Drosophila melanogaster: one gene and its partner. The protein of the gene in region 2 purifies or fractionates together with the protein of the main gene of each other region. This does not show direct contact. Each region holds a gene or a part of one and is shown on either strand. Other genes may lie near its edges.

What was found.
Region 1: the proteins of Burs (region 2) and Pburs fractionate together in Drosophila melanogaster (co-fractionation; 2 studies listed by BioGRID). This does not show direct contact.

Annotation. Positions count from the first base shown.
Region 1 is NT_033779.5:14,409,975-14,425,803, forward strand, and holds Pburs (partner of bursicon), read right to left. Parts: upstream 7,358-15,829; 5' UTR 7,345-7,357; coding exon 7,090-7,344; intron 7,032-7,089; coding exon 6,861-7,031; 3' UTR 6,755-6,860; downstream 1-6,754. Other genes in the region: Cpr35B (cuticular protein 35B), read right to left, coding at 14,439-15,083, 15,146-15,157.
Region 2 is NT_033777.3:21,759,730-21,775,929, reverse strand, and holds Burs (bursicon), read right to left. Parts: upstream 6,413-16,200; 5' UTR 6,380-6,412; coding exon 6,250-6,379; intron 6,186-6,249; coding exon 6,061-6,185; intron 6,003-6,060; coding exon 5,736-6,002; 3' UTR 5,651-5,735; downstream 1-5,650. Other genes in the region: GABA-B-R2 (metabotropic GABA-B receptor subtype 2), read left to right, coding at 597-845, 1,022-1,503, 1,565-1,745, 1,801-2,019, 2,075-2,370, 2,431-2,794, 2,857-2,967, 3,034-3,270 and 4 more. UniProt on the Drosophila melanogaster protein: Final heterodimeric neurohormone released at the end of the molting cycle, involved in the sclerotization (tanning) of the insect cuticle, melanization and wing spreading. Heterodimer specifically activates the G protein-coupled receptor rk.

The DNA of each region.
Region 1 (15,829 bases), on a different chromosome or scaffold from region 2:
TCCGCTTTAAATTTGATAAATAAAATGAAGGGTAATCACGGTACCCGGTTGTTTAAGAAACATTTTTTTATATTATACTTATGTACCAAGAATTATAAGGATTTTTTAATATTATTAAATAAAATCTTAAACATTTATTATACACATAGTAGGGAAAGATTTTTGGAAATTTGTAATTCTGAGCACAAGTAAGTTCACACTTAGATCAAGCAATAAGTTTTAAATATTGCGTATACGCCCAGTTGGAAAGTTTTTCTTTGCGCGCTATCATTGAGTACAAAGCTAAAAAATTCTAGAAATGTGTAAATAAAATATTGGAAATTAAAAATAGAGCCAACACAACACACACAACGCTGGGCACACCGACACCAACACGCTCATTGGACGATCGCCGCTTCTGTGTAGCCATTTTGGGTAATTTTGTTGCTGTTGTTGTTGTTTCACAGTGTTTTGTGGGGAATTTATTTCCACACATGTGTGTGCAGCCATGGCGCCTGTGTGCGTGTGGAGAGCGGAACGGCGTCGGCCATAATTGTTTACGAGCAGGTGGGCGTGTGTGTGGCGCTCGTTGGTGTGCCAGTGTGAGAGTGTGTGTGAGGAGGGGTTGGGGAATGTGTTAAAAACTGCAAGCCGAGGAAATATGATTTAGAGCACCAAACGAGAGAACCATTTCCGTGGAGAGAACACGATTTGGTGTATTTCCCTCACTTCGCAGAGAGAGTTTTCCCCACTGTAAACAGAAAACAGCTGGCGAAAATGAAAATCTCGGGTTGCACATGATGACGGGAAATGTCTGAGACGAACTTATCCCTCATTTTGCACACTGAAATCAATTTTAGTTTCTCACTTAGATGCTATAAATGCAATAAGAATGGAATGTTCGAAAGTAATATCGTAACATCTTTAACATTAAAAAATGTTAATAAAAAAAAAACAAATTTGTAATTCAAGTTTGCCGATTAAATTTCTCTTAATGCTTAATATGTACATATGCAGTTTAATATCTAAATCATAGCTCCCACGTTAGGGCAATTTAAGAAATCAAATATAGGAGTCATAATCTCTGGTTAAATTGCTCTATTGGGTCCGCATCATCGTAAAAAGCAAAAATGGTCGTAAAAACACAACCAAGACCACGCAATTGGTTAAATATTCAAAAGGCGAAATGCTGCTCTAACTTTATGGCATTAAAATGTTTAGGATTTGAAAGAGAAATACACAATTATACTAATCGTGGCGCTTTGAATTAACAATCAATAATTTACATATTTCGGCCATATATTGACAGCTGCCACTGCTGCTCCACGCCTTCTTGGAGCATTTTTGGTGATGCTCTCATAAAATGCCCCCGTCCATTGTGGATTTTTGTCGTGTTCATTAAGAAGCTTTTGAAAGTTTCGCCTTTCAAAAACCATAAAATGTTTATTTAGATGCCACTTTAATGGCGGACAGAGTCAAACGTTTTATAGCTTCCTTTTGTTTCACAATATGGTTTTAGTTTCGTTTTCGGACTTAATAGACTCATTTCTGGTTTAACACAAAACAATCGAGTTTCAATTAACCACACAAAAAGTATATGTCGTTTTCGCTCTCTGGGTAAACCACAAAATTAAGTGGCTAACAGTATTTTGTGGCCACAACACATTACAAACCACACAAGCGAACTGAAAAAAGGGAAATTATAATAGAGAGCCGGGTTTGCCCATATCCTTTTTTTTTTTCGTACGCGTTTGTCTGCCGCGCCCAAGCGAATATCCCCAACAGACAAATAAGCGGGGGTGCGTTTTTCACGGTGCGGGGGTCGTTTCCGTTTCGGGCTTTTGTTAGCATTTTAGCAGTTCATTTATGCGGCTTACAGGACGAGGAGGCGGCACATGTGACCGGAAAAGCCCTTTTAGTAACACAAAATGGTCACCAAAGTGGTTGAGTGCTTGTTAGTTTGCGGGATGTCTCGGGAATAATTTGAGATGTGACAATGGGCTTGGAAAAACTTCCTCATTACTATTTGACTATATATTTACTAGTCTTTCAAAAGGTATCTATAAGTATGCAATGTTTTGCTTCAAATAAAAACCCCATCGCTTTTGTAGAACTCGCTATACTAAATGTGTAAGCATTTGTTTTATTAAAACGTTTAAAAGTAGTTCATCAATATTAATGTATTTCTTTGTTGAAAGCAATAATAATAAACTAAAATGCATATGTAATTATCCGCAGTGCTGCCATTTGTATGCTGTACCCTCTTAAGAGATGCTGCAGTCCTCGGCTGCATCTACTTACCCGTTGCTCGATTGCAGTTGAGCTTTACCCCTTGCCACGCTTTCTCCTATGCTTTTCATCTTTTTACCCTTTGGCCACATTTTCCGGGCGACTTTCCCGTTGTATATGTGTATGAATTATGTGCTGCACTCTTTTTTAACCCCTGGCATATTTTACAAGCTGCTTTACTAGCCCCGTACTTATACTTTGCTCTCCAATAAACATACAAACGCACTTACCCAGTGTTTGTACATGGATGTCAGGAGTGTGTGTTTGTAGGGTTTTGTGTTTTTTTTTCATGCTCGTTTGTCGTGGCCTCAAGTGCGCTGGTGAGTTCATAAATTTGCCCACTGGGGCGTATGAGTAATGTGCCAAAGGGGCTTTGCTTTCTTCATGTAGAACTGTGTGCAACACACACAAAAACGGTTGGGAAATGAAAAAATCTAAAAGCCATAGTCCAGCAGGCAACATATGCAGCCTTCAATTTAATATACTTTACTTTCAGAATTTGTTTTCAAAAGGGGCGAAAAAGCTTAAAGCAAAATAATGTAACTAAGCTGTGTCTATAGATTGAATTCCGTTTATACAGGACAACCCTGACTACGTTAGCTGTTAGAAACCTCAAATCTTTATAGTTAATTAAAATAAATTAAAGAAAAACATTGTATTTTTAATACATCACGAACTTATGTACACCATGTTCTGCAAGCTGCTAAGCATTTCAATTTCCTTTTCTTTGCAATCTCTAAGCATCTAATGTTTATTGCCCATTATTATAATTGCGCAATCTTTGCGATGCAAAAGGTGTCCCGGTCTTGGGCCAGTTTTCCTTCAGTTGGCCACATCCGGTCAACTGGCGGCGTTTATCATAATTGCAGTTCATTTGCATGCCCGGGAAAATGCAGTTCGCTTTTCACATGTACACTTTTTGCCGCTGCTGTTGGTGCTCTCTTCATCTTTTCTGCTGTCGCCTGTCGCCGCCTCTCATGCGGCAACAGCAACTGTCGCCGTTGCTGTCACTTGATGTCGCAACGCATTAGAATATGTTGCATGTTGCCCCTGTTGGCCCACTACGCGCTCGTCCCTGCCCAGCAACTGGCAACCTGCAACGGTTGCAGTTGCATATGCAATATGCAGGCGCGGGCAAATTTTTATCTTATGACAGCTGCTGCTACCTCTGTTTTTTGTAATGCCCTTACTGAGAGTACTTACATGTTTTCCAAATTCTGGTGAAATACTACTTACAGTTGGTTTTTGTCTTCAAAGGCTTGTTAAATATTAAATATAAATATTTGTAAATATCTTGGTGTTATTAAAGTTATCAAATATTAAAAACGAACTAAATTAATAGTTAATAAACTTAAGTTATAAAATAAAAAAACATTTCCTCTGTTAAGATTTTTTCCGAAAATGTAAAAGATGTTTTACGTTCTTATGGTTAGAGCATTTATTAAGTCGTTCTTCCTTTCCACTTGTGGCGCCTATGCTGATTCAGTTGCAGTTGCTAGTCGGAAAAAATATGTTGCTGTCGTGCCCGGATTGTTGTTGTTGCTGTTGCCTTGTTACATGTTATGCCCTACGCACATGCGGCTGGTGGCGGAGCAACACAGAGTCACACAGTTGCTGCAAGGAGGAAAAAGGCGCCCGAAAACAAATGTCAGCTGTAAAAATCATAAATTTAATGCAAAATGCAAAAACGCTTTGCGCTCCGCTGGGCTTTTGCTCTCTGACAGGTGACCCCTTGCACCTCGCAGTTGGTCCACCCTAGCTCACAGCACTCTGAATTTCTGCCGCTTCTAACTGAAATATGATATATGCGAAGTTTTGGGCGGAAGCTGCCACAATGCTGCTTCCTGAATACTCTAAATGAAGGAAAAATTAAGGATTTAGGCTAGCTGTTATTAATGGCATGGATGCACATGTTGCAACACAGAATTTAAGCTACGAATAAGGCGAGATGAGAATACATTTTCCTATAGTAATAATTTAATCGATATACGCAAAAAATACCTAATCAACTCCTTCTCTTGTGTTCCACAGACTTATTAATTAGTTGAGCTAAATCCATAAAATATTCGATATGGTATTGTCCAGATATGTCGAATGGCATTAGGCTAAACTATAGTTATAATAAACACAACATAAATTTCAATCAGAAAGCGAAGCGATCTTCTTGTTAGCTTCCACACGTATAATACCATAGGCAAACAAAGAGATTTTTGAAAAAAAAAAGCAACAGAAATACCTTTGAAGATAAAGCCAATCAATGATGTCACGCCTTCTTGTCTTTTGGCCATTAATGTGGGCTGATTGTGTTTGAGGGCTGAGAGCTAATACGGCAGTGTGTCTTGACACTAAAAGCATTTTTCCGTTCGACAAAATCTTTGTTGTTTACATTTCGCCTTGAGCTTTCATTAAAAACAAACAGAAATATATTTCACCGAATGACAAACAATCAAATTAATTGCGTTTTTATGCAAATGCGAATGGAGAAGAAATAAAGAATTCGAAATGATGAAAATTAATTGCCAATATTAACGCGTTTTAACACAAAAAGTATGTTAGATATTGTATAAGCGATAACCACCACCAGCAGCAGCAGCAACAATAACAATAAAGTAGCATTCAAGTAAATGTTTATATTTTTTTGTCCCCCCTTTTTTGTGATCTTCAAATTTGTTATTAATTAACATTCATTAATTATCATCAAAGTGACTCGGAAGAATATAGCAACTTGCCTGCCTTTCGTGGCCAGCGCTTAATTTATAACTTATAAATATGCAGCAATTTATTTAACACGATGCATGCGTTCGATTTGGCTCATAAATGTGGCCTGTGAGTGAAATTTATTGGTGTATTTAGCGATCGATTTTAATAATCTGCGCAAAGTCTTCCAAAAGTTTTAATTTCTTTTTAAGAGCCCTCTGAGTAAACCACACAGTACAGGAACCTGTTTTTATCTTGAAATTTTAATATCCCATTTTAGTTCAAAGTATCTTTCCCACTCGTTCTTAAGTTAATGACTCAAATCGATGCACACTTTCCAGGTGATCCGCGATTGAAGCTAAATGAGTTATTCAGCACCTGCAATGGACCAGTAATTGTGTTGTTGTGGAAACCCGTTCGCTTATAGACTGTTTAATTTGATTACCCTAATGAAATGTTAAAAGTTTTGAATGATCATCTGATCGCAGGTAGTTTTTCGCTCACCGGTTCTACGTGACTCCATCCGGGATGCAAGATTTGCCGAGAAATCTTGCTCGATGTATGTTATAAATATAAATATATAATTTATATTGTGTCGGCACGTTGCTGTTGATGGAGCCACTGACGCGCGATGCCACCCAGGAACCCCCCTCTTGATCCACCGTTCCCCCTTGGACAAATCTTGGATGGGTATATGGAGCTCAGCAGCTCTGGAAGATCACTGCGGTCCGATGTTAATGGGCGTGTCAACTAAATTATGAGTTTCGCACACACGAACGAAAGGCGGCAACTCAGTACCGACCGGTGGAGATCACATTCAGCTGGGTAGTAAGTATATGGGGAGCTGTGGAAAAATGCTTAAGTAAATTACAGTGCGTGCAAATGTGCTTGTGAACATGAAATTATAATGTAGCCCCGAACCGAGCGTGTTCCGTTCCAAGCCAAGCTCCAATTTACAATTAGTCGATGTTGCCCCATCTCTGGTGGCTTTAATCAATTCAGCTGGGTACTCGCATGTCTAAAATAAAATATAATAAAACAGGAGGAATAGGGAAAATAATGATGAAAATTAACAACCAGAAAGCGGTTTTCATCTTAAGTGCAGTTTATGCTTGATTATTATGTTTGCGAGACGAGTTTCCGGGTGGTTAGGCATCATGTGCCGCACAGATGCCAACATAAATATGGCAATTGCGAGTGCGCCGGACCCTCTGACTAAATGAGTTAATTTGGTAGCCAGGCTGGGCCAAAAAGTCAATATGCTCGTTGCCATTTCCCTGGCCATTGCAAATGCCTGTCAGAGGACGAGTGATGTATTCCATTTTGGTTGCAATCAATTTTTGGCCTCCAGTGATATGTCAAACATTTTCCGATTCAGGATTGCATTGCATATTTTTGGGAAAATCAAAGTTCATGCATTCATGGAGTATAGCAAGTGCCTCTCAGCGAAATGTGTACTGTATTTTCAATCAAACAGATGTTTGTTAGCCTTTGGCTTACTGCATATCAATGTAGCAAACAATAATGCATGAAACAACAGACACTTTAATCATGAGCAGCTATCAGTCTAATGTTGTTATTCAAACACACACGAAGATCCATTTTAAGCATAAGTTAAATAAGGGCGAAAAAGTGGAAAGTTCAATATAGAAACTAATTTTGTATTAATTTAATTTAATGGTTATATTAGAATAGACATTAAAGATATATGTATTTATTTAACTGAAAAAGCTGGGACTTTCACTTATTCCTTTATTAATTCGAAATATTTAAGAATATACATGATTTTAAGTAATGGTACTTTTAATGTGGGGCTCGTTTTGAAAATATATGAAACATATTTCACTCTGCAACTAAAACAAATGGATGCAAATAGCATAGTTTATGTTGAGGCATTAACGTGTGAAATCGCCACATTTGAAGCACTTGCACTCGGTGGGCTCCCGAAGACGTATATCCATGCTTCCCATTTCCGGAGAGGTCAAACGGGTGCCGTCCGGGTCATAGCAATGGGTTAGAGTGATGACCTTTTCCTTGAGGAAGCTTTCGCGGCAGCAGTAGCACTCCTGGAAAACATGGAACCTTAGAGTTCGCTAACTCTATAGAGGCAGGATTCAAACTTACTTTCAGAAACCCCGTGGGCGTTATCACCGATGGTTGCACCTGACTGTTGCACAATCCTTCGCATTTGTTGACGATGACGTCGGCATTGCAGGTCCTCTGCATCCGGCCCAGCTCGTCGAACTCCTCCTTGATCAAGTGGATCTCCGACTTGAGAGTCTCGCAGTTCTCGTCGCCAGTGCCTTGGCTATATCGCAATGCCCTCAGGCATTGGGGCACTAGGATCGCGGCCACAAAGAGCAGTTCCTGGACATGCATGCTGACCCACTCCCAACGCCCAACTGTTTGGAATCGCTTCACCCGGAGGCTCTTTTATACGGAAGAGGGCTGGACCTGATTGGATTCCATGATATATGTCAATGACTGGCTGATGGAATGTTTGTGTCCTGCCCAGCGGGTGAAAATTCGGTCGCTTAAGTTGCGGTAGGACATGGCAATTTACACATCACTTTTGTGCTCCGTTAATTGGTAATTAAATCAAACGACTTGACCACAAGTAACGATGTCGACTGTATCGATTCGATTTTTTACACGTTAAACCAAATCGATAAGTACGGAATAAAAATATAAAATGATTGCAGAAAATTTAATAACTTAATGCCAGATTGCGTTACACTTAGCTTATACTATTGGTTATATTACAATAATTTATTGGTGTGAGCAATAAAGAGGCAAATACTTTCAGCCTTAATCTATACAAGGGGCTTTCCCGCAATTTTCCGGCCACGTAAACAAAAAATGAAATTGCAATCTGTCTGAAGTTTTCCACCTCTCGTGTCTGTTATTGCCTGCTTTTGGCCCTGTTGGCCCTCCCCTGTTGGCATCGTCTTTGTCTCGCCCAATTTCGCAATAACCACATTCTCTCTCCCAGTATCTGTAGCTGTATCTGTATCTGAATCCCACTGTGGGCTCGACCGCCTTTCTCCACTTCACTCCTCTGTGGGCCATGGTCGATGGTTGCGCTTTAGAATCATCGACGCAAACGCAAAAAGTCTCAATGGCGCAGTAAATTATGTTTTATTATGCAATAAAGTCAACCATAAAAACGCTGCAATAAATTAAATTAACTACTAAAAATGCTGATTTTATTTTTACCCTCCGTTTGCGAAATTGTTGTTCAGTCAGTTCCGTCTCTCCATATATACATATGTATACACACACGAGTATTTGAATACATAAACAAGGATGCATGCTTGTGTATCTATCGTATGGCGCAAAGTTTTGTTCTGAATTTTTGGTTTACTGTCTGGATTTTTGCCTATTTTTCCTGTTTTTCTGTCTGCGAATAGTCTAAATGGTAGTTTGCTCGGAAAAACCGCTGCGCTCAATGCTGGAACTCAAAGTTTGACTCAGGATTTCAATTAAAATTATAAAAAAATAAAGACTTATTTACATTTCTAGACAATATTGCAATTGTGATTCTTAAAAAGAAAATACTTCTAATTATAAAAATTAATTCAAATTCCCTATTAAAAAGCTGAATAATGGATGATGGTGTACAAAAATTAGTTAGTATGTTCCGCCCAGCCTAAAAGATTGGTGCTGCCCCAATGCAGCTCAGATCAATGTTCAAATTAGTGCCATTCCCTAAGAAGTCCCGACATCAAAGGATAACCAAGGGTAAAAAATACATCCTGCAGGCTTCGTGTCCATGAATGAAATCCAAAGCGACACACGACCGGCAGCAGTAAAACAAAAGCGCAATGCTTTAAATGAATAAATATGACACATAAATACCATCCAACAATGGATAGCCCGTGTGTCTTTGTGCAAAAGGAAAAAACAACAAATTCAACAGATTCGAAAAGGCTAAAAAAAAAATAAATACAAAAAAATCGCAAAACATCGTAACAACAAAGCCAACCGACCAAGCGACAGGGACCGACAGTTAATTCCGCGAAAGAGGAAATTACAATTCATGCCCTTTGGCAGAACTCCATGATTATCAGATCGAATTAGTGTCTGCCTGGGCATCTCGTCCTCCCATCCTCCCATCCTCCTTTCCGATACACGGATACTCTTCGGTGTGCCTGACTGTTTGTCCTGGGGCCACATGAGCCCCACACATTTTTTTTTGCCGCATTCGGTGGCGTTTCGGCCCTCAACCGAACCATTTGAATGAACTTGGACCGGCTGCTCCTTTTGTTTCCCGTTAACAACAAATACAACAATTATGAGTGTGTGCCCCGTCTGGCCGAGTCCTGTGGAACCTGTCATGACCAGAAAGTTGCCCTTATTTTTTGGTTCACCGTGCGTTCATTTCGTTGTCCGCAGACAAGGAAAAACAAATATATGTGGTAAAAAATGCAGCATTTTGACTGATTTGCGGGTGTCGCCATTATATTCATATATTAAATAATAGAATTAGAACTTCAAAGTGCTATATGCTAAGCCTAATGCGGTTTTCAAATAGTTAAATACTTGGCAACATTTATATATGCGATGTCTGGATTTTTTCTAATAGTTTTTTAATTTCCCCCAATTGATTGGTTTGCCCTTGCCTAATTGATTTAGAATTAATACTTACTGTCCGTGTCTCGTAACGCCAGCTGTAGAAACATACTCGAAAAATGATTATGGGCAGACACATTAATTAAATTAAGCCGACTTTGGAGCCTTGGGGCTGCCTGTCTGATGACTAGAGACTGGGAGTGAATCGGTCTGAAGTGGCTCTTAGTTGGCCAAAATCGCTGTTGACTCATTATGGTAAAGACATGTGTTAATTTATGTAACTTTCCCAAACGGCCATTGCGACGTTCATTAATCATTTTTTTAGTTTCGAGATTTTCAAGTTGGCCCCATGTCTCGCCGTGTGCTGCCTACTCTTTTATGTTATTTTTAGTTAATTGTTTGCGCTGTAAAATGTTTATGCGTTTTTGGCCAGCAGCTCGGTTCGGCTGCCTTTGCCCTCTTTGACTAATGTGTGCCGCGTGTTCACATTTTTGTCTCAATGATTTATAGTTGTCCGCTGGACAAAGTCATTTTTGCTTTGGAAGCGGTTTTGTGTGCCTGCAAAACGTATCAATCATATTGGAAATTAATTTTGATAGCCACATAAAGCTAGTCATATAAAAAAAAGGTGGAAAGTGGGAAAAACAAAGCAGCTTAAGCAGAAATCTCAGTTATATTGTAGTAATTAGCTCCTAATGGATTCATTCATTTTCTATCGGAATTCAATCGAGGAAAATAACTTAAAACTGTTTTTCACTACCTGTACATAAACAATTTGGGAGTAGTACTTTACAAGTGCAGAAATAGTGAAGCGAAAGTAAGCAGCTCCAACGATTTGCCCGTTAGCCACCTCTACACTGCCCTGCATAATTATGGTGCGTATGAGGCCCGAACATTCAATCTGCCTGCCCCATCCAAAGCTTTAAAACAAAACCCCTAATCAGCATTAAGGTGCGCATAGCCTATTATTAACTTGATTACAATTCGGGATAAGCGAAGGCAGCCAAATCAGCTGGGCTATGTGTGGGTAACACCCCGGCGATCGGCGCAAAGGGAGGGCCTATATGGTGGGAAGTGAGGATCATTTTGCACGATTTACGAGATACGAGTTGCGAGTATATGTATGTATGTTCATATATAGTCGAGTCGAGTCGAGTACCCGGGGCTAGAGTGGCGGATAATGGTTACGGACAATGACGATGAGTGGATGGTGGCTTCTACTCTCTCGCCGTGGAATGGAATAAAGACTGCCCCACCGTCGAGCACATCCATCAATCGTGATGGATAACTGACAGTTTGGGGCGTTGCGGGTTCTCAATTTTCATGGTCAGGCTTCTCCGGTGAAATAAAGAAAAAATTCCATTTACCCGTCAACCCAATTTGTTGATCATTAATCATTGATATATGTAGTATATACGGTCAACCCGTTCGTCTATTCGTTTAGTTGCTGCGCTTATTTGGTTGCTTAAATGTAGCATTGACCCAATGGGGAATTGAATTGATTGCGCATGTGCATGTGCGATAATTGGCATAAATTAATATGGCCAACAAATTTAATTAGACATAAATCAATGAGTTTATTAAACAGTAGCCAGCGCAGACTGCAGGCAGCAAGCAAACCGGCAGCCAATCATGCCAAACCGTTTTCCACCAATAAACTGCCGCAAATTGGCTAATACCGAATGGCGTTATATGTCGAACCCAGAGTTATGCCCGTTTCCCTCTGTCTATCTAGCCAACGCCCACCAGTCTCGGCGCGCACATTAAAAATCAGTTAAATTCAGAAACACTCTACCCACTGACCCCCGCGCCAACACAAAAATGTCCATAAACAATTTTCATGGCAAAAAGTCCGACCACGACTCAGTGGAATCGAGGGACCTCTCACTGTGCCGGCTGTCGAGAGACGCAGCTGGATTCGAACTGGTTATATGAACGGACTGGACTCGACTTCTGTGTGCGGTTGGATGTGCCACCAAAAGCCATTTGGCACATACATTTCAAACATTTATGGTTATTATAAAGCATTTAACATTATTATGGATGCCATGGGGCATCTGTTACAATCCGACGGCCAACAAACACCGGCAGCAGCAGCCCATATAGCCGGCTTAAATAATCACTCTGCGGTGTAATTAGCAAAATATTTATTGATATTTCGCAAAGCGTGTGCAAAAATAGGCAATGCAATTGGCCAAATGCTGCAGCTTTCGGTGGAAATCTACATTGCAATTGGGAAAATCAGTTTTTTGGATTTTACATGACATTTTATTAACTATTCAGATATATTAATATTTAAAAATCCTGAATATTTATTGAAACTCTTTTCTATTATGTTATTATAGTTTTCTTCTAACAGAAAATATTTTTGAAAATACTACAGTTAAATGCATCACACAAATGAATTTAAAATGTATTTATTTCGAGACGGACTACTCATGTTAGCACTTTATAAAACGACATTAATTGATTTGGCATTTGTAGCTTATTTGACTGGACACACAATCTCCTACCGAATCAAGCTTATTTATGTTCCACAAAGAGGCCAAAAAAAAAACGAGCAGAAACTTGACAAATAAGTTACGCTTAATTTTCTGGCAAGCGTTTAAAAAACCGAAACACGCAACAAGGCAGTCAGCCACCTAAAGCAAAAGCCATTAAAAGCGACGCGACACTTTTGATAACAAATTCAAAGCCCAAACCGAAGCCAAAATGAAAATCAAAATCAAATTCGAAATCCAAAGCCGAAGCAAGTTCAGCTTGAACAAAAAAAAAACAAAAAAATCAAGCCAAACTTACTATACTATACCGAAAATCAGAGGCTGCCCATAAACATTGAATTTTACGACGCTGTGTGGTCTCGTTTGACATATTGTGGGCTTTACGATTCCAAAATTAATGACACCATGGCCCAAGTCAGGTAACGGGCATTGGAGTGGATTCGATTGGATGGGATGGGGATTGGGAGCGCACTGCTTACGGATTTTGACTTGGCTGGTGCCATACCGGTTTGGGAATGTATATTTGGTTGGGCGAAACGACGGCCTCATCAGTTAATAAGACACATACCCATTTTTATGGCATTAAACGACGACAAGTGAAACATAAAATATATATTTACTTTATTTTTATGCGCGAATGGTCCGCTTTAGAGCTCAAAACTCACTTGACAAAGCAATTTGCAATGCAAATGGATCGTCGCGTTTGGGGTTAGTTTCTCGGTTTTCTAAAAATTCATTCCGTTTTGCGTTTCGGCAACTGTGTTTTTTATTGCTTTGATTTCATTTCAAATAAATCGTAATCAAGTGAATTTACGACCTGTGCCAACAGCGACTTCACATTCCCTTGAAGCTTAGCTTAATTAATTTCAATTTAATTTTTTCCGAAACAAAATTTATGATTCAATTGCATTAGGTGGCATGTAAATTTTTCACTTTAGCTCATTAAGTGTCGAATCGCATTGATTAAGGATCGTGATTAAGGAAAATTAAAATACAAAACGCATAATTTCCTTAAATGTCAGTTGATAATTTCTTTTTTATAATCAGAAATCGCAATGAGATAATATATAATCTTAATATACTGATACTTATTTTGATTGGGAATATTTTCATTATTGAAATGAAGCATTTTTAAACGTATTATTTCTTAATTGAAAGCTTCTTTTACAATATTTGCGCATATCTACTCAAATGATTTATTTAACAAATTATTAGTATAATTTCTGTTTTTCTGACCTACAAATTGAGCTTCTCAATATGAAAAAATGAACCTCAATTAATCATTATTTGCAACACAAGAAGCACAAAAATCCGGCAAAAAGTGCCATAATAAATATAAGTAATAGCTGTTGCAATTTTCGCACTATATCTCGTATATTACATAATGTAGAAAGTGCGTGCCGCACAAACACATGGAACGTATAAAAATAATAAATTACACGAAGCGAGAGGCAACTGGAGTCCCGGTCGAGTTGGGTCGAGAAGGGATTTTTGTGGAGCGTTTATTATGCGCACAATAAACGCGGCGGGCGCAGCGGCGACATAAATTAAATTTATGATGCTTATAAATATTCCACAGTCATTTGTAATACAGCAACAAACGAGGGCAACAGGATAACGCAAGGATGTGCCGAGCCTGTCTGTTAAACAAATTGTAGCCAACTCGGGCTGAGGGGAAAGCAACAAACAAACAAAAACACACGCACTCGCGAATGCTAGGGAGATATATATATTTGATTTATGGGTGTGCGCGGATGAATAAAGGACTTTCAACTCCGAAAACCCGATTGCCACCACTAGAAGTGAAAAGAAATCGCCCATAAAAAATCGCCATGTGCACGCATATATACAATATGTGTGTATGCTTGCATAAAAAATACAAGTTTCAGCCACCTGAAATAGCCAGCGAATAGATAGATATGCGGGCTAATTTATGGATAAACTGTACAAATATGATTTATAATAATCGAATTTGTGATATATCTCGCCTGTCGTGTCGCACATTACTGATTCTGACCCAAATTACGGTCTATGCGATTCTCGTCTTGGTGTTGAGTCGCGAATGCCTGCCTATTCAATTCATAAATCACCATATGCTAAATATGCTAAAATTTCACTAATAATTTGAAATGTTTAAATATTCCAAATGTATCGAAAAGAGCTATCTACTGTGATTTGTTTCTTTTTTAAGTTAATAGTTCGTTGGTAAGTATAGAAACTTTATAATTCGATTTTAATAGGTTTTAGGGAAACTTTAGTTACACTTCTTGTCCATTTCAAATCAAATAATTATTTCAATTTTGAAAATATTTGCCTGATTTATTTTGGTATAACAACAATAGGTATTTGGTAAGAGTTCAATAAACGATTGATAAACAATTGTATAGCTTAGGGGTCAACTCAATGGTAACCGTGTCCGTGCTCGAAACCATGATCCTGACCGTGGCTGTGGCCGTGCCCATGTCCGTGTTCCTGTTTCAGCGAATAGCTGTGGGAGCTGCTTCCGTGACCATGTCCATGACCATGACCGTGACCGTGCTCCTCGTGTCCGTGGCCATAGTCGTGTCCGGATTGCGAGGAGTGCTCCTCGAACTCAACGTGTCCGCCCTCGTAGCCGCTGTGTCCATGGCCATGGTGCTCCGCCTGGTGGTGATCGTGGAGCTTCTCGCGATGGACATGAGCCTCGAATCCCTTGTGCTTGTCCGCCGTGTAGTGGACAGTTCGCTTGTGGCCATCGGCATCGATCAACTCATAGTGTCCGGTAACCGTGTGGCCATGTCGTGACTCACTCTGTGACTTCACATCCCCAGTCTTTTGATCCTTGACGCCGTACTGGAAGTCATACTCAGCATGGGAGTCATGGTGATCATCATGCCCGTGATGGTCGTGATGATGACCGTGATGTTCCTCGTGATGATCGTCGTGCGATGTTAGATGCACGGAGGCATGACTGGTGGCTCCACCGTGATGACCGTGGTGTTCGTGGCCATGGAAAGGAGCTGCCCGAATAGCCGCAATGGCCAAGAGGGCAAAGGCGATGAAAAACTAAGGAAAATCGAGGTGAATAATAATTTGCTTTAGTTGTTATCCTTTTTTGCTGAACTCACCTTTTGAGCCATGGTACCGCAGCTAGTTTATGAGTTAATCTTAGCTAGACTACTGTTGTCTGATCTCCAGACCAAAGTGAACTGTACCTAAAACACCTTTAACCCGGCCTTTTTATAGTTGGAATAAATCGAACCCATAGGTTAAACTTTCAAAAAAGAATTGGTAAATCGGTCTTTAGTTACGCCCCAATTTGCAGTTCAAGATCAGGTCGTACTTTCGCCCCAGAGACGTGCAATTATATTCGACTGCCAGTTCGACCCTTTTATTTAGCTGTTGTTTCGAAAATCCGTAAAAAAAAAAAATAAATAAACATAAAAATGAGGAAAGAAAAGAATGGCAGTGTAGTAATTCATTGTAAAATTTACTGTCGCAACAATTGCCAATTTAAAGTGGCATTGTTTATGCATCGCATCGCTGTCGTTGTCGGCCATTATAATCCCCCGGCTTGGAGTCGGATTTGGATTGGGATTGGTATATGTGGGCATAGCCAAGAAACAAACGAGCCAAAAGATTTATATGCCTGACAAACGTCTTCGAGTCGTTGACGTCAATCAGGCCTGACAAAAAGTCATCAGAATTGCAGTTTGCAGTTCTCCCTCGGCAGCGGCTTCTTCATTTTGGCCAGATCGGAAAGGCTTGTCTGCTCTCCTCAATCCCAATTCCAATCCCATCCCATCCCAATC
Region 2 (16,200 bases):
CGGTTTAAGGACATGCGCACTTCCTGCCTCGAATTCCTCCTGTCAGACAAATGTCAAGTCAGGGGGATACATAATTTTTCGGACCCTCGCACTGCAAAAGTTCTTCGTTGGCTGAGATTTGATGTAAAATAAGTGTTTCAAATGGCATCGGTAGTGAAATAAAAGCCAGTTCTGGGACTAAGCAAGCTGGTAGGTTCCTAAAAACATGTACACATAAGATTTAAGAGGATGCAACACCTGGAAGATACTCCTTCGCGTTAACGAGCATACTAAATAATGCACGAATCCTTTAGATCATTAAATTGCTTTATAATTACTAAACGTGCCAGCATTGCTGCAGCAATTTGAAGCAATTTTGCTGGCCTGGACTGGCCTTAGCCTTGCTCCACCTGTCCTGTAAAATTGCATGCGAGTGCCAGCAAACACAGGTAGAACGTAGAAAATAATACACACCCACTGGGCGCAGCCTTGCCTCGGCAGCCTTGGCTCACCCGAAACCAACCACTGCCATTCACCACCCACAACTTGGCTCCAAGTTCACGTCCTCGATATGCGCTATTCACATTTAGAATCGTTTTACAGCCCACGCGGTCAACATGTTCCGGCCAAGTTGGTTTCCATTCGCCAGCCTGCTGTTCCTGCTCCTTTGGAGCACCGCCTGTGGCAGGACAGCCAAGAGATCGGACGTCTACATAGCGGGATTCTTCCCGTACGGGGATGGCGTGGAAAACTCCTACACCGGTCGGGGCGTTATGCCCAGTGTAAAGCTCGCCTTGGGTCACGTTAATGAGCATGGAAAGATACTGGCCAACTACAGGCTGCACATGTGGTGGAACGACACTCAGGTGAGTTAGGGTTTAGCTTGAAGATTTCATTAAGTGAATCTCTGATGATGGACTTGTGGTTTTTAAAGTTCAATTAGGTATTTTTTTTAATGTTCATTGGTTCATATTGTAATATCACACCTTTACCTATGCATATTTCCATATATTCTGGAATGTAATTTTGGTTTCCTTTCCAGTGCAATGCTGCTGTGGGCGTAAAGTCCTTCTTCGATATGATGCATTCGGGTCCCAATAAAGTGATGCTCTTCGGCGCTGCGTGCACCCATGTGACCGATCCCATAGCCAAGGCCAGCAAGCACTGGCACCTCACCCAGCTCAGCTACGCGGACACCCATCCCATGTTCACCAAGGATGCGTTTCCGAATTTCTTTCGCGTGGTACCCTCGGAGAATGCCTTTAATGCGCCGCGACTGGCCTTGCTGAAGGAGTTCAATTGGACCAGAGTGGGCACTGTCTACCAGAATGAGCCACGCTATTCGCTGCCCCACAATCACATGGTGGCTGACCTGGATGCCATGGAGGTCGAGGTGGTGGAAACGCAGAGCTTCGTCAACGATGTGGCTGAATCATTGAAGAAACTGCGCGAGAAGGACGTGAGGATCATTCTGGGCAACTTTAACGAGCACTTTGCACGCAAGGCATTCTGTGAGGCTTATAAGTGAGTTGGATATACTAACTTAAGTCTCAATTTAAAATTATTGCAATAAACTCCCTTCCAGATTGGATATGTATGGCAGAGCCTATCAATGGCTGATCATGGCTACCTATTCCACGGATTGGTGGAATGTCACGCAGGACAGCGAGTGCAGTGTGGAGGAGATCGCTACAGCCTTGGAAGGTGCCATTCTAGTGGATCTTTTGCCCTTGTCCACCAGTGGTGACATCACAGTGGCTGGCATTGTTAGTACCAGTAAAGTCTATTAAAATTCTTGTAATAAATTTCATATTTTACTAGACTGCTGATGAGTATCTTGTGGAGTACGACAGACTGCGAGGCACTGAATATTCCCGCTTTCATGGCTATACCTACGATGGTATCTGGGCAGCTGCCCTGGCCATTCAGTATGTGGCCGAAAAGCGAGAGGATCTGCTAACACATTTTGATTATCGCGTGAAGGACTGGGAGAGTGTCTTCCTTGAGGCTCTACGTAATACATCCTTCGAGGGTGTGACGGTAGATAGATAAACAATCCAGTTTTTGCAGTTAAAACATATTTTACATTCTCAAGGGACCCGTGCGTTTCTACAACAACGAGCGCAAGGCCAACATCCTGATCAATCAGTTTCAGCTGGGACAAATGGAAAAGATCGGGGAATACCACTCACAGAAGTCACACTTGGATTTAAGCTTGGGAAAACCAGTCAAATGGGTGGGGAAAACTCCTCCCAAGGATCGCACTTTGATCTACATCGAGCACAGTCAGGTCAATCCAACCATATATATTGTATCGGCTAGTGCTTCGGTCATTGGAGTGATTATTGCCACAGTTTTTCTGGCCTTTAACATTAAGTATCGCAATCAAAGGTGAGCTTAACAATGCTATATTAAACAATTTCGTTTAATAAAATATTGATGTTTTTATAGATACATCAAGATGTCCAGTCCCCATTTGAACAATCTGATCATTGTGGGCTGTATGATGACCTATTTGAGCATCATTTTCCTGGGTCTCGATACCACATTAAGTAGTGTGGCAGCTTTTCCCTATATCTGCACAGCTCGAGCCTGGATCTTGATGGCTGGATTCAGTCTCAGTTTTGGAGCCATGTTCTCGAAGACGTGGCGGGTGCATTCGATATTCACCGATCTGAAGCTCAATAAGAAGGTGATCAAGGACTATCAATTGTTTATGGTTGTGGGCGTGCTTTTGGCCATTGATATAGCCATTATAACCACCTGGCAGATTGCCGATCCCTTTTACCGCGAAACTAAACAGTTGGAACCCTTGGTGAGTGCATTGATAGAACATATTTGAAGTGAAAAATCTAAAATGATTATTATTAACTACAGCATCACGAGAATATTGATGATGTCTTGGTGATCCCCGAAAACGAGTACTGCCAGTCTGAGCACATGACCATATTCGTTAGCATTATTTATGCCTACAAGGGACTGTTGTTGGTGAGTATATAATAAACATTAATTTGTAAGATATCATTATAATAAAGCAATAATTTTTTTCAATAGGTTTTTGGCGCCTTTTTGGCCTGGGAAACTCGACATGTTTCTATACCGGCTCTGAACGATTCCAAGCATATTGGTTTCTCCGTTTATAACGTGTTCATCACTTGTCTGGCCGGAGCGGCTATATCCCTGGTGCTATCGGATCGAAAGGATTTAGTTTTTGTCTTACTCTCGTTTTTTATCATTTTTTGTACGACAGCCACTTTGTGTTTGGTGTTCGTACCGAAAGTAAGACTGGTAGTAAGGAAGTTTTGTAGTTTTTGTAGCTGTTATATGTTACATATAATAATCGTGTAATATGAATGTTGTTTGTCGGCGGTAATAGGCCGATCAGTTGTGGTTAGAGCTTCTTAACTGATCGTACTTTACCGCCAGCTGAGCTGATCTTTCGTCTAGCGTTGATACACCTTGATACAGAAACAACATGTACTCGAAAACAGATCTTAAAATGCTATATAACACTACAGACTAACTATAAACTTGAACTATATAGAACCCACTAAGAGCAGCAGCAAGGTTGTAGGCAAATCCCACTTCCTTGCTGTTGGAATATCTTTAACTATCCTATATTACTGTCCGTAGAGTTGATCCTTCCTAGATGTTGACCGCGTAGTATAATCTTTGGTTAATATTCATGCGAATCGTTTTGCAGTTGGTGGAGCTGAAGCGGAATCCCCAGGGCGTGGTGGACAAACGCGTTAGGGCCACGTTGAGACCCATGTCCAAAAACGGACGCCGGGATTCCTCGGTGTGCGAACTGGAGCAACGATTGCGAGATGTAAAGAACACAAACTGCCGATTCCGAAAGGCGCTGATGGAGAAGGAGAACGAGCTGCAGGCCTTAATCCGCAAGCTGGGACCCGAGGCACGCAAATGGATCGATGGGGTGACCTGCACAGGTGGCTCCAACGTCGGTAGCGAACTGGAGCCCATACTGAACGATGACATTGTTAGGCTCTCAGCTCCACCGGTGCGTCGAGAGATGCCCAGCACCACAGGTGAGTGGCTAAGGAGGGGGATTTCGTAGATATGTTCATGCATTGCAACCCGTTTGTCATAGAAGTTACCGAGATGACGTCCGTGGATAGTGTGACCTCGACTCATGTGGAGATGGATAACTCCTTTGTGTCGGTGCAGTCTACAGTGATGGCGCCATCGCTTCCTCCGTAAGTTCTTAAATTTTGGTCTTAAATACACTCTAATCTATGGATATTCTCCAACAGCAAAAAGAAAAAGCAATCGATTGTAGAGCACCACTCGCATGCCCCTGCTCCAACTATGATGCAGCCCATCCAGCAGCAACTGCAGCAGCACTTACAGCAACATCAGCAGATGCAGCAGCAGCACCTGCAGCAGCAGCAACACCAGCAGATGCAACAGCAACAGCAGCAGCAGCAGCATCATCATCGCCATCTGGAGAAGAGAAACTCGGTGTCCGCTCAGACCGATGATAATATAGGCAGCATCACCAGTACGGCGGGCAAGCGGAGCGGAGGAGACTGCTCCAGCATGCGGGAGAGGCGTCAATCGACCGCCTCCAGGCACTACGACAGTGGCAGCCAGACGCCCACCGCCCGGCCAAAGTACAGCAGCTCGCACCGGAACTCCTCCACCAACATCTCCACATCGCAATCGGAGTTGAGCAACATGTGTCCACACTCAAAGCCCAGTACTCCGGCTGTGATTAAGAGTAAGTTTTCTGCGCGTCTCTTATAATACTATAATACTATCGATTTTCTAATCGAAAATAGCTCCCACTGCCTCCGACCATCGCCGCACCAGCATGGGCTCCGCTCTGAAGTCCAATTTCGTGGTTTCACAGAGTGACCTCTGGGACACGCACACGCTGTCGCACGCCAAGCAGCGCCAGTCGCCGCGGAACTACGCCAGTCCGCAGCGCTGTGCGGAACATCATGGCGGCCACGGGATGACCTATGACCCGAACACCACCTCGCCCATCCAGCGGTCCGTCTCCGAGAAGAACCGCAACAAACATCGGCCAAAACCGCAAAAGGGCACCGTTTGCCAGAGCGAGACGGACAGCGAACGGGAACGAGATCCGCCGCCCAACAGTCAGCCGTGCGTCCAGCCGCGTAAGGTCAGCCGGAGCTCTAACATCCAGCACGCCGCCCACCACCACAGTTCGCCCAATGTGGCGCCCGATAAGCAGCGGAGCAGGCAGCGCGGCAAGCAGGATAGCAGCATCTACGGCGCCAGCAGCGAGACGGAACTGCTCGAGGGCGAGACGGCAATTTTGCCCATCTTCCGGAAACTCCTCACCGAGAAGAGTCCCAACTATCGGGGCCGCAGTGCCGTGGGCCAGAGCTGTCCGAATATATCCATCAAATGCGATATCGTCGAGTACTTGTAGGCGGCGCGAGTCATATGCATTATGCCGTAGTTAAACTCCTATTGTTAGATCCAGTTGCAGTGTAAAGATTATCTTTGTTTTCTTTGGAGTTACGCATCTACATACATACCCTGTGAAGCAGGACACACACCATTTAGTGAACTAGTAGCAATGACATGAGATAGTTGGGAAATAAATTACAATTTAAAATAATCATATATCTGCTGATGTTTCCCTTTCACTGGCATGAGCTTTCAGAGGCACATTTTTCACTGTGTACAAGCAGAAACGGCAACTCTAATTTATTTTAATGAGCAAATGGGCATGGGTATGAGTGCTAAACTGATGGGGGAATCTATTGCAGAGCAATGCGCCGGAAGTGATTGTTGAGTGGACCCTCGTCCGAATAGCCGGCAATTTCCTGTGGTATGATGCCAGACTCCTCAATGGAAGTGCATGGCCGACACATGCACTCCAATGGCGCCTTGGTCAGGACCTTCTTGAATTTACGCTCGCCGGGCTTCACTTTGGGACAGAATAGCGAGACGGCTGCCTCCCGCTCACCAGACTCCTGGCAGCACATGCAGGAACGCTCCATTTGCCAGATCTTACTGCCCGAAACCTAAAGTCATCAGATTATATCAAATTATAATTTATATTTCAAGTATATCAACACCCACCTGGATATAACTGGCACAGCGACCCACGCAGGCGAACGAGGGAATCGGCTTGGGCACACATCCAGGATACTGGAGCACATGGATGACGGGCGTCACCTGACAATCGTCGCCAAGATGCGTAATATCTGGATGGTAAATGGAATCCATTAGAGCGAATAATATGATATTATCAAATGCCTTATCAAATACCATTATCCGTGGCGGCCACAGAGCTATCCGGCTGTGCCGTGCAGAGTTTCAGAATGCTGACCAGGACGCAGTAGAGCAGGATCAGGACGAAGACCTTGTTGTTCTCGTGGCGGAGCAGGTGGCGCAGCATCTCGTCGGCCCGACTGCGAGTGTCCTTTCACGTGGAATGGAAAACGCCACTTGCAGCCGCCGGGCTTTTATAGACCAACTTGGCCAGCGGATGCCGCTCTAATGGCCGCTCGACAGCGTAAATTATGGCCTAATAAAGCAAGGGCCGTCCAAACCTTTTTGCCTAGTAATTGCGTACACGAAAAGGGCATTTCTCCCGCGGCGCACGACCACGGCAATCTCTTTATTTCCCTCACAACTTATTGGCTAATCAGGGCCAGGCCAACATGCTGCCCACTGCTAAAAGCAGAACCACCACCAAGGAAGTGGCTCCCAGGCAGGAGCTACCATTTCTGTCCGCCAGATATTTTACTAAGCCTTCCAAATGGGTTTCCGCCCAGTTAAGGTTTTTTTCCACAGTGACCAGGGACTTGGAGAGCAGCTCTTCCGATTCACCGAAGAACTGGTGATTGCTGTAGTAGAATTCCTTGAGCAACTGCTGTTGCTCCCGGGTGGTGAAGTACTCCGCCATGTCATTGATCACCTCGGCCGTGTCCCGACCAACTCTGGAAGCTGAAAAGCGACAAGGTTAAGTGTTCAATAAACAATCAAACCACACTCTCAGATGATCAAATTATGAAAAATAACTCACTTATACGCTAATTCCATAATGTTTTCGGTAATCATTTCGAAAATTGCCTGAACCAAGTCAGGATTCTCCTCGTACATACGGGCGATACCAATTTTCTTTTGTTCAACACTTTCCGTACCAGAGATGATCATCTTGTGGTAATGGGTTTCGTAGTCTCTCGTGCAGCTGATTGCAGCCCAGAGCATATTCTTTTCGCTAGTGCGATTTTCCAAATAATACTGACCCCACAACATGGTGTATGAGTTGTAATCGGCACCACTGGCGGCACAATAGAACGTTTCCCGGTAATCCGGCGATGGTACTTCATGACCTGTTACGAACTGAACGTTAACCTTTGGCCTGCAATTGCTGGCCTGGTATCTGCACAGCCATTTGATCAGTTTGTTGCGATTGGCCACATCCAGCGGAGTGTAGTATATACGAACATAATAACAATAATAATAACAATAATAATAATAATATTAATAATAATTATAATATGAATCATAATAATAAGTCGACTAATAAGTAAACTTAGGACCACCCTAATTCCTTAGGGTCACCCTAGTAGATCTTTAGATACACCCTAATACTAAATATGCGAATTCAGCATGTACGCCTTTAGGGGTCGCACTCGACTCCCATTGGTTATCGAGTATGAACTACATACTTACATATTGCAGAATTTGCTAGTGTCAGCACTTGGCTGTCACAAGAGATCTGCCTGTAGACCACACTAAGATCAGTTATAAATCAGGAATAGATCTGGAATGTACGCTCGCTTAATAAAAACCAAATAAAGATAAAATGACCAACTGCGTTTTGAGACTTTATTAACTACATCAGAAGTATTGGAATTCTAATTAACTACATGGCGACCGTGACAAAGGATCGTTATAAGTTGTAGCAGAAGCTAAAGGAAACCGCTTGTGATAATTTTCAACTTCGATGCTCATCCACCAAGACGGCGGCAATTATGAAGAAAAAAGCGATCTGAGTGAGTAGAGTGTCAGTGTGATGGGAAAAAACAGGGGCGGAGTTCGACATAATATAAAAAAGAGAATAGCGCACATAAAGTGGCTATTATATACGAACACTCCACCACCCCAATGGTCGAAAGCTCAAAAACTACAAGCTGAGCTAGACCACTGTGTCGAATATCTCAAGAAAAAAATCCCCACCACACGCGCTCACTCAGAAAATCAAATAAAATCGTTAACAATTAACAAAACTCCAACTCCCAATCCGAAAAGCCTGCCTGTTTTCAAGAAAAGATGCCCGAACGACTGCGAGGGACCACTGTTCACACCGCATTGTGAACATACGTGCAGACATTGCAGCTCCACCACATAACCCCTAAATGAGGAAATCATCATCAACGTGGTGAGCAGCCCGCTCATTACGTCATCGAGGGAGTGTCAGCGTGCCAACCCCGGCGACGTCCAGCTGACGCAAGGAGGGTCAGAGTGAAGCAAATAGGAGCTGAAAAATAAAATATTTTTTTTTGTTGCCCTGCGTGGCACACCACCCTCGATGCACTGCGCTGCATATTAATATTACACAAAATATTGTAACATTGAGCGGAACTTTTTCTGCCCGATGAGAAGAATGGCCCGTAAAGCCATACACCAACTAGGTAGGAAAATGTAACTATATTGAACAAAAAAAAAAAAAAATCAAAACAACATATTTTTAAAGTAAAATAAACCAAAACCCAAAAATAAAACAAAAAAAAATAAAAATATACAAAAATGGGTTGGTTTGGATCTGACGATAGTCAGACAAAAGATAATACGGCCAATGTGGTCAATAACTTAAAAATAGTCGACCATACAGATGACATTCAGTCACTGTGGTTACTCCTTTTGATCATGACGATCGTAACAGTCGCTCAGTTTATATTAACGCTATATGTTAAGCATAACAAGATAATAAAGAGGCGTTATATAGGCAAAGCAGAGAATAGTTTGGATAAAATTTAAAAAAAAAAAAAAAAAAACATCCAAAATGTATTTTGAATTAAGATGATCTAAAATTTTTATTTTTAATATCAGAAAACTAGAATGAAAAAAAAAAAAAGATTATTGAAGAAACCTATTTGAGAGAGGCCAAAATTTATAAAGTTCGATTGCATAGATAAATCCATAGTATTCTTTAAATGGACTGGCAAGAAATACAAAACGAGCTTAAAGAAATTAAAACAACTTTTGACAAGTCTTATAAATGCATGACACCAAATAGAGAAGTGCAACAAGACACTCTCAACAAGCATGCGCAGATATTGGTAAGATGCTTTAATGGAGCACGCCAATTAATTTACAGAGAAAGGAAAAGATTAACAAAAAATCATTTATCACAAGCAGTAAAATTGCTAAACAGGTTCCGTGAGAACTTGTTAAACGTCAAGTACAGACACAACTTAAATATTACAATCCCAACGATTTTAAGCACACCTATAGTGGCTGAGATCGGTGAGGATATCGAAAGTGTAGGAGAATCAGAAATAGAAATAAAAGAAGAGGATCTCCACGATCTTGCAATTCCAGCGGTAATAACATTACCCGAATTACTTGAAGAAGAACTTTCAGATTCAAATACAGGAATAAGAATACAGGAAACGGACAAAATGACAGACTCTGCCGCAACAGCAAGGGAATATGTGCGACAAATTTCGTCCACAATACCTGAGTTTGACGGCAAAAAGTTAAACTTGAATAGATTCCTCACGGCTCTCCGGCTAATAGATCTGACAAAAGGAGATCAGGAGATGCTAGCGGTTGAGGTAATCAAGACAAAGATACTTGGTCCATTATCACACAAAGTTGAAAATGAAAAGACCATTATCGGTATAATAAATCTATTAAAAGCATCAGTTAAAGGCGAATCGCCCGATGTCATCAAAGCAAAAATACTTAGTACACAACAGCGCGGCAAAACTGCAGCGCAATATACCACGGAGATAGAAAACCTACGTGGGTTGCTCGAAGCAGCCTATATAGATGATGGTTTAGATTCCAACAATGCAGACAAATTCGCTACAAAGGAAGCCATATCTGCAATGACCAAGAACTGTGGGCACGATAAGCTCAAAACCATATTGGAAGCTGGAAATTTCAACACGATGAATAGCGTGATTGAAAAATACATACACTGCAGTACAGAAATGACCGGCAATTCAAATAGTGTATTATTCTATAATAATAGAGGACACTATCGAGGTAATAATTACCGAGGAAATTACCAAAACAGAGGTAATGGCCGAGGAAATTATAACTCCTACAATAACAACTATAGAGGCAGAGGTGGTTACCATGGTGGAAACAGAGGACGAGGTGGTAACCAAAATTATAATAGAGGTGGAGGTTACTCAAGAGGTAACCAAAACCATAACTATAAAACAAGTCATGCCCACAATGTCCGAAACATACAATCGGAAAACGAACATACCCCCTTGAGCGACAATCTACAATAAAATTATACAAAATTAATCTCAATTTAAGCATTTTTATACGATTGAAGAATATGAGTACCAATTCATGGGTAACTCTTTTAATAGATACAGGTGCAGAAATTTCCCTGCTTAAATGCAGAAACAATAATCTTAACGATTTAAATCCAAAAAATACAACAAATATATCAGGAATAGGGCAAGGGACAATTCAGTCTCTAGGTACACTACATTTAGAAATGTGTATTGCTAATGCAGCAATACCATATGAATTCCATATCGTACCTGACAATTTTCCTATACCAGGGGATGGTATAATTGGCTTGGATTTCATTAAGAAATACAATTGTATTTTGGAATTCCACGACCAAGAAGATTGGTTCACTTTGAGGCCCAAAAATTTCAGGAACATAAACATTCCTATTATACATTCACTAGATAATGAAATAATTTTGCCAGCTAGATCAGAAGTGATTCGAAAGATTCAACTAACATCTACTGACACACATGTCCTCATCCCCAACCAGGAATTACAACCTGGCATAATAATCGCAAGTGCACTCGTAAACACTCAGAACGTCTTGATTCGAATTATTAATACAACTGAAAAAGACGCTATAGTTAGTAGCGCAAATATAAAAAGCGAATCATTGGATGATTATGATGTATACAACGCAAATATAGAAAATAGTGCACAAAGAACTTCAGAAGTATTAAAACTTCTTAAATTTCCATCGTTATTCAAAAGCGATTTAACAAAATTATGCACCGAATATAGCGATATTTTTGGTCTTGAAACAGAAACCATATCAGCTAATAATTTTTACAAGCAAAAATTGAGATTAAATGACAAAACTCCAGTCTATATCAAAAACTATAGAATGCCAGAAAGTCAAAAACCAGAAATTCAAAGGCAAGTTGACAAATTAATAAAAGATGGCATTGTCGAACCATCTATTTCAGAATATAATAGCCCTCTTCTCTTGGTACCCAAGAAATCACTGCCTAACTCGGAGGAAAAGAGATGGCGATTAGTAGTCGATTATCGCCAAATAAACAAGAAACTGCTAGCAGATAAATTCCCACTTCCAAGAATAGAAGATATTCTTGATCAATTAGGCCGAGCAAAATATTTCTCGTGCCTAGACCTGATGTCAGGATTCCATCAAATAGAATTAGACGAAAGGTCAAGAAATATAACATCATTCTCAACTTCAACGGGAGCATACCGCTACACGCGATTACCATTTGGTTTAAAAATAGCCCCAAATTCTTTCCAAAGAATGATGACCCTTGCATTTTCAGGTTTAACGCCTTCGCAAGCATTTCTGTATATGGATGATTTAGTAGTCATAGGCTGTTCTGAAAAGCACATGCTTAAAAATCTAACCGACGTTTTCAAATTATGTAGGCAACATAATTTAAAATTACATCCAGAAAAATGCACTTTCTTTATGAAAGAGGTTACTTATTTAGGTCACAAGTGTACTGACAAAGGTATATTGCCAGATGACTCTAAATATGAGGTAATAAAGAACTACCCCAAACCAGTAAACGCAGACGAAGCTAGACGCTTCGTGGCATTTTGCAATTATTACAGAAGATTTATTAAGAACTTTTCTGAGAAATCACGCCACTTAACGAGGCTTTGTAAAAAGAATGTTCCATTTGAATGGACAAGCGAATGCAATGATGCATTCGAATATCTCAAAAGGGAATTAATGAAACCAACACTCCTTCAGTACCCAGATTTCAGCAAACAATTTTGCATAACCACAGATGCTAGTAAACAAGCATGTGGAGCGGTACTATCTCAAGACCATAACGGTCAACAGCTACCAGTGGCATACGCTTCAAGAAGCTTTACAAAAGGCGAAAGTAATAAGTCCACTACAGAGCAGGAGCTAGCAGCTATTCACTGGGCAATAAATCACTTCAGACCATACGTATATGGTAGACATTTCTTAGTACAAAGTGACCATAGGCCACTATCATATCTTTTTTCAATGAGAAACCCCAGTTCAAAATTAACCAGAATGAGACTAGACTTGGAGGAGTTTGAATTCACAGTAGAATATCTCAAGGGGAAAGATAATCATGTCGCAGACGCATTGTCCCGAATAACAATCGGAGAACTTAAAGCAATAAATAGACAGATACTAAAGGTAACAACAAGATCAACAACAAGACAGAAAAATACCTGCGCAGGTGAAAAATTGCATGAACCAAATGAGAAAGAAAATATAAAAATGCCCAATATCTATCAGGTAATCAATAACATTGATGCCAAAAAATATGTTATACTCAAAATAGACAAGCATAAGTGTTTGTTGAAAAGAGGAAAACAAATTATAACACGTTTTGATATGACTAATTTTTATTCTAATGAAATAATCGATTTAGATCAATTCTTTCAAAGGCTTAATGAAGAAGCAAGAATAAATAGCATCATTCAAACACAATTGTCACCAAGTGAACAAATCTTCGAATTTGTCACTATAAAGAATTTTAAAGAAAAGGGCAATAAAATACTAAAAAATTTAAAAATAGCGCTATTAAACAAGGTGACTAAGATAGATAAAAATGATAAGGTTCAAATAAAAGCAATACTGTCTAAATATCATGATGATCCATCAGAAGGAGGCCATTCAGGAATTTCTAGAACCCTGAGGAAAATAAAAAACTATTATTATTGGCCACAAATGACAAAGGCAATAAGTAAATATGTTAAAACATGTTTAAAATGTCAACAAGCCAAGACTACAAAACATACTAAAACACCGTTGACAATAACAGAAACGCCAGCAACAGCATTTGATAAAGTTTTGATAGATACCATTGGTCCACTGCCAAGATCAGAAAACGGAAATGAGTATGCTGTTACTATCATTTGCGATTTAACAAAATATTTGGTAACGGTACCAATTCCAAATAAAAGTGCAAAATCAGTTGCTAAGGCTATATTCGAAAATTTTATTCTAAAGTACGGTCCAATGAAAACAATCATAACGGACATGGGAACGGAATATAAAAACCAAATTATAGACGACCTATGCAAATATATGAAGATAAAAAACATTACTTCAACAGCACACCATCACCAGACATTAGGAACAATAGAACGAAGTCACAGAACTTTCAACGAGTATGTTCGCTCATATATATCTGTTGACAAAACCGATTGGGATATATGGATACAATATTTTACTTATTGTTTCAACACAACACCATCGGTAGTTCATGAATATTGTCCATATGAATTAGTATTTGGAAGATTACCAAGACAGTTCATAGATTTTAACAGGATAGACAGAATAGATCCTATTTACAACATGGATGACTATTCAAAAGAAGTTAAGCTACGATTAGAAATAGCATATAGAAGAGCTAAAAATATGTTAGACAAGGCAAAAGCCGATAGAAAGATAAAATATGATAGAAATATTAGTAACTTTGAATTAAAGATAGGAGATAAGATATTACTTAAAAACGAAACGGGTCATAAACTTGACAATAATTATTTAGGACCATATTTAGTTTCAGAAATAGGAGATAATGACAACATTACAATTATAGGAAATAAAAATAAAAAACAGATAGTCCATAAAGATAGGTTAAAAATTTTTAATTCATAATACATTTTGTTTGGTTGGCCAACCACAAATAAAAAAAAAAAAAACCACAAATAAAATAAAAACCAATAAAAACATTATAATACAAAACTTTTACTTTGCAAAATATAATGAAAATATATATATTTTTTTTAATATCTCTTTAATCATTCATTTCAAATATTAATGTACATTTAAAAAAAAAATTATTATATACTTGAAAATAACTTCATGTTATTACGTTATTTTTCAAAAGGAGGGAGATGTAGTATATACGAACATAATAACAATAATAATAACAATAATAATAATAATATTAATAATAATTATAATATGAATCATAATAATAAGTCGACTAATAAGTAAACTTAGGACCACCCTAATTCCTTAGGGTCACCCTAGTAGATCTTTAGATACACCCTAATACTAAATATGCGAATTCAGCATGTACGCCTTTAGGGGTCGCACTCGACTCCCATTGGTTATCGAGTATGAACTACATACTTACATATTGCAGAATTTGCTAGTGTCAGCACTTGGCTGTCACAAGAGATCTGCCTGTAGACCACACTAAGATCAGTTATAAATCAGGAATAGATCTGGAATGTACGCTCGCTTAATAAAAACCAAATAAAGATAAAATGACCAACTGCGTTTTGAGACTTTATTAACTACATCAGAAGTATTGGAATTCTAATTAACTACAGGAGTATCCTGGGCGTTCCAGCCAACTCCTAGTTTTTCAAAAACAGCTGCTGTGATGCTGGAAAGATATATCCGGAAGTCGGGCAGCTGTTCAGGTGTCAATCGCTTTGCCACCGTATTCAAGTTCTCATAGACGGCATACCAGGGCACGTACTCCACCTCCTTCGCCAGGTATTCCAGGAACCTGAATACATCAGCATAATCCACATATTGAGCTTGCGCGAAATTGAAGAGATCATCAATAATTTGAGCACGGTTCTCAACCGGTATTCCACTGTGATTCGTTGCCGAGATGGCTAACAGAAGACCTTCCCTTAAAGTGTCGTCATAGAACACTCGTTGGTAGTTCGACTGCCTCAGGTTAAATAAAATCCAATCAATTGGACTGGTAAAATCCAGCCACAGAACGTTAACTGTTTTGTGTAGGTATTTATATGGCGTAAGGTTGTAGAAATCGCGTTCCAGATTAGTGGTGAAAGTTATTGGTACTGTGTATTTCAGTGTAGCATTACTGCCATCGTCTTTGTTAAGGAGGAATCGCGACTGCTCCACAGTAACGACCTTGTTACCCTGTAAAGCCTTTACAATTATCATGGGATAACCAACCTGCTCGGTGTAATCGGTAAGAAAGTCAACCAGATCCACATCCTGATTCTTTGGCCAATGCTCGAAGAGATGGTAAAATAAGTTATAAGGTACTGTATTGGTCAAGTGGCTGGAAAAAGAATGATAATTGTATAATTCCCTTATCAAAATTAAGAACCTCTTCACTAAATATAGGTTATGACACCTTCAAGATAAATGTTTTCGCCTCTAACCAAAAATATACCTTACTTACTATTGCTGCAGGTAACTCCTGATGGCTGTGTCAAAGTTTTCGGCTCCCATGAGATTTCGCCACATCCTTACAATGCAAGCTCCCTTGGCATAGGCGATCCCGCTGAACTTGTAGGCAATCTGGGAGGGTGTTTGAATCTCCGACTCCGGACTTGTCATGGGTTGAGTGCCGTTCTGGGCATCCGTTCCAAATATCAGCTGCATTTGGCGCACCACAAACTGCTCGTCCAAGTGATAATCTGGATAGAGCTGAATCGATTATGTAACAATACTGGCAAAAATATGTATTCGAATTCTCATCCTACCTGATGAGCCATGAAGTACTCGTAGTAGCGGGCAAAGGCCTCATTGAGCCAAAAGTAGCTCCACCAGGAGAAGGTCACGCTATCCCCGAACCACATGTGTGAGGTCTCATGGGCGATGATGCGTATGGCGAACTCCTTATCCGACCAATCATCCGAGTATCCAGGTTCCTGTATAAGGACATCGTCGCTTTAAAGTAACAACAAAACATAATGAAATCATATTCTATATTTTACTTTCGTTTATATGTATATTTGGCAATACTTTTCGTACTCACCTGTAGATTATGAGGCCCCAGTTTTCCATGC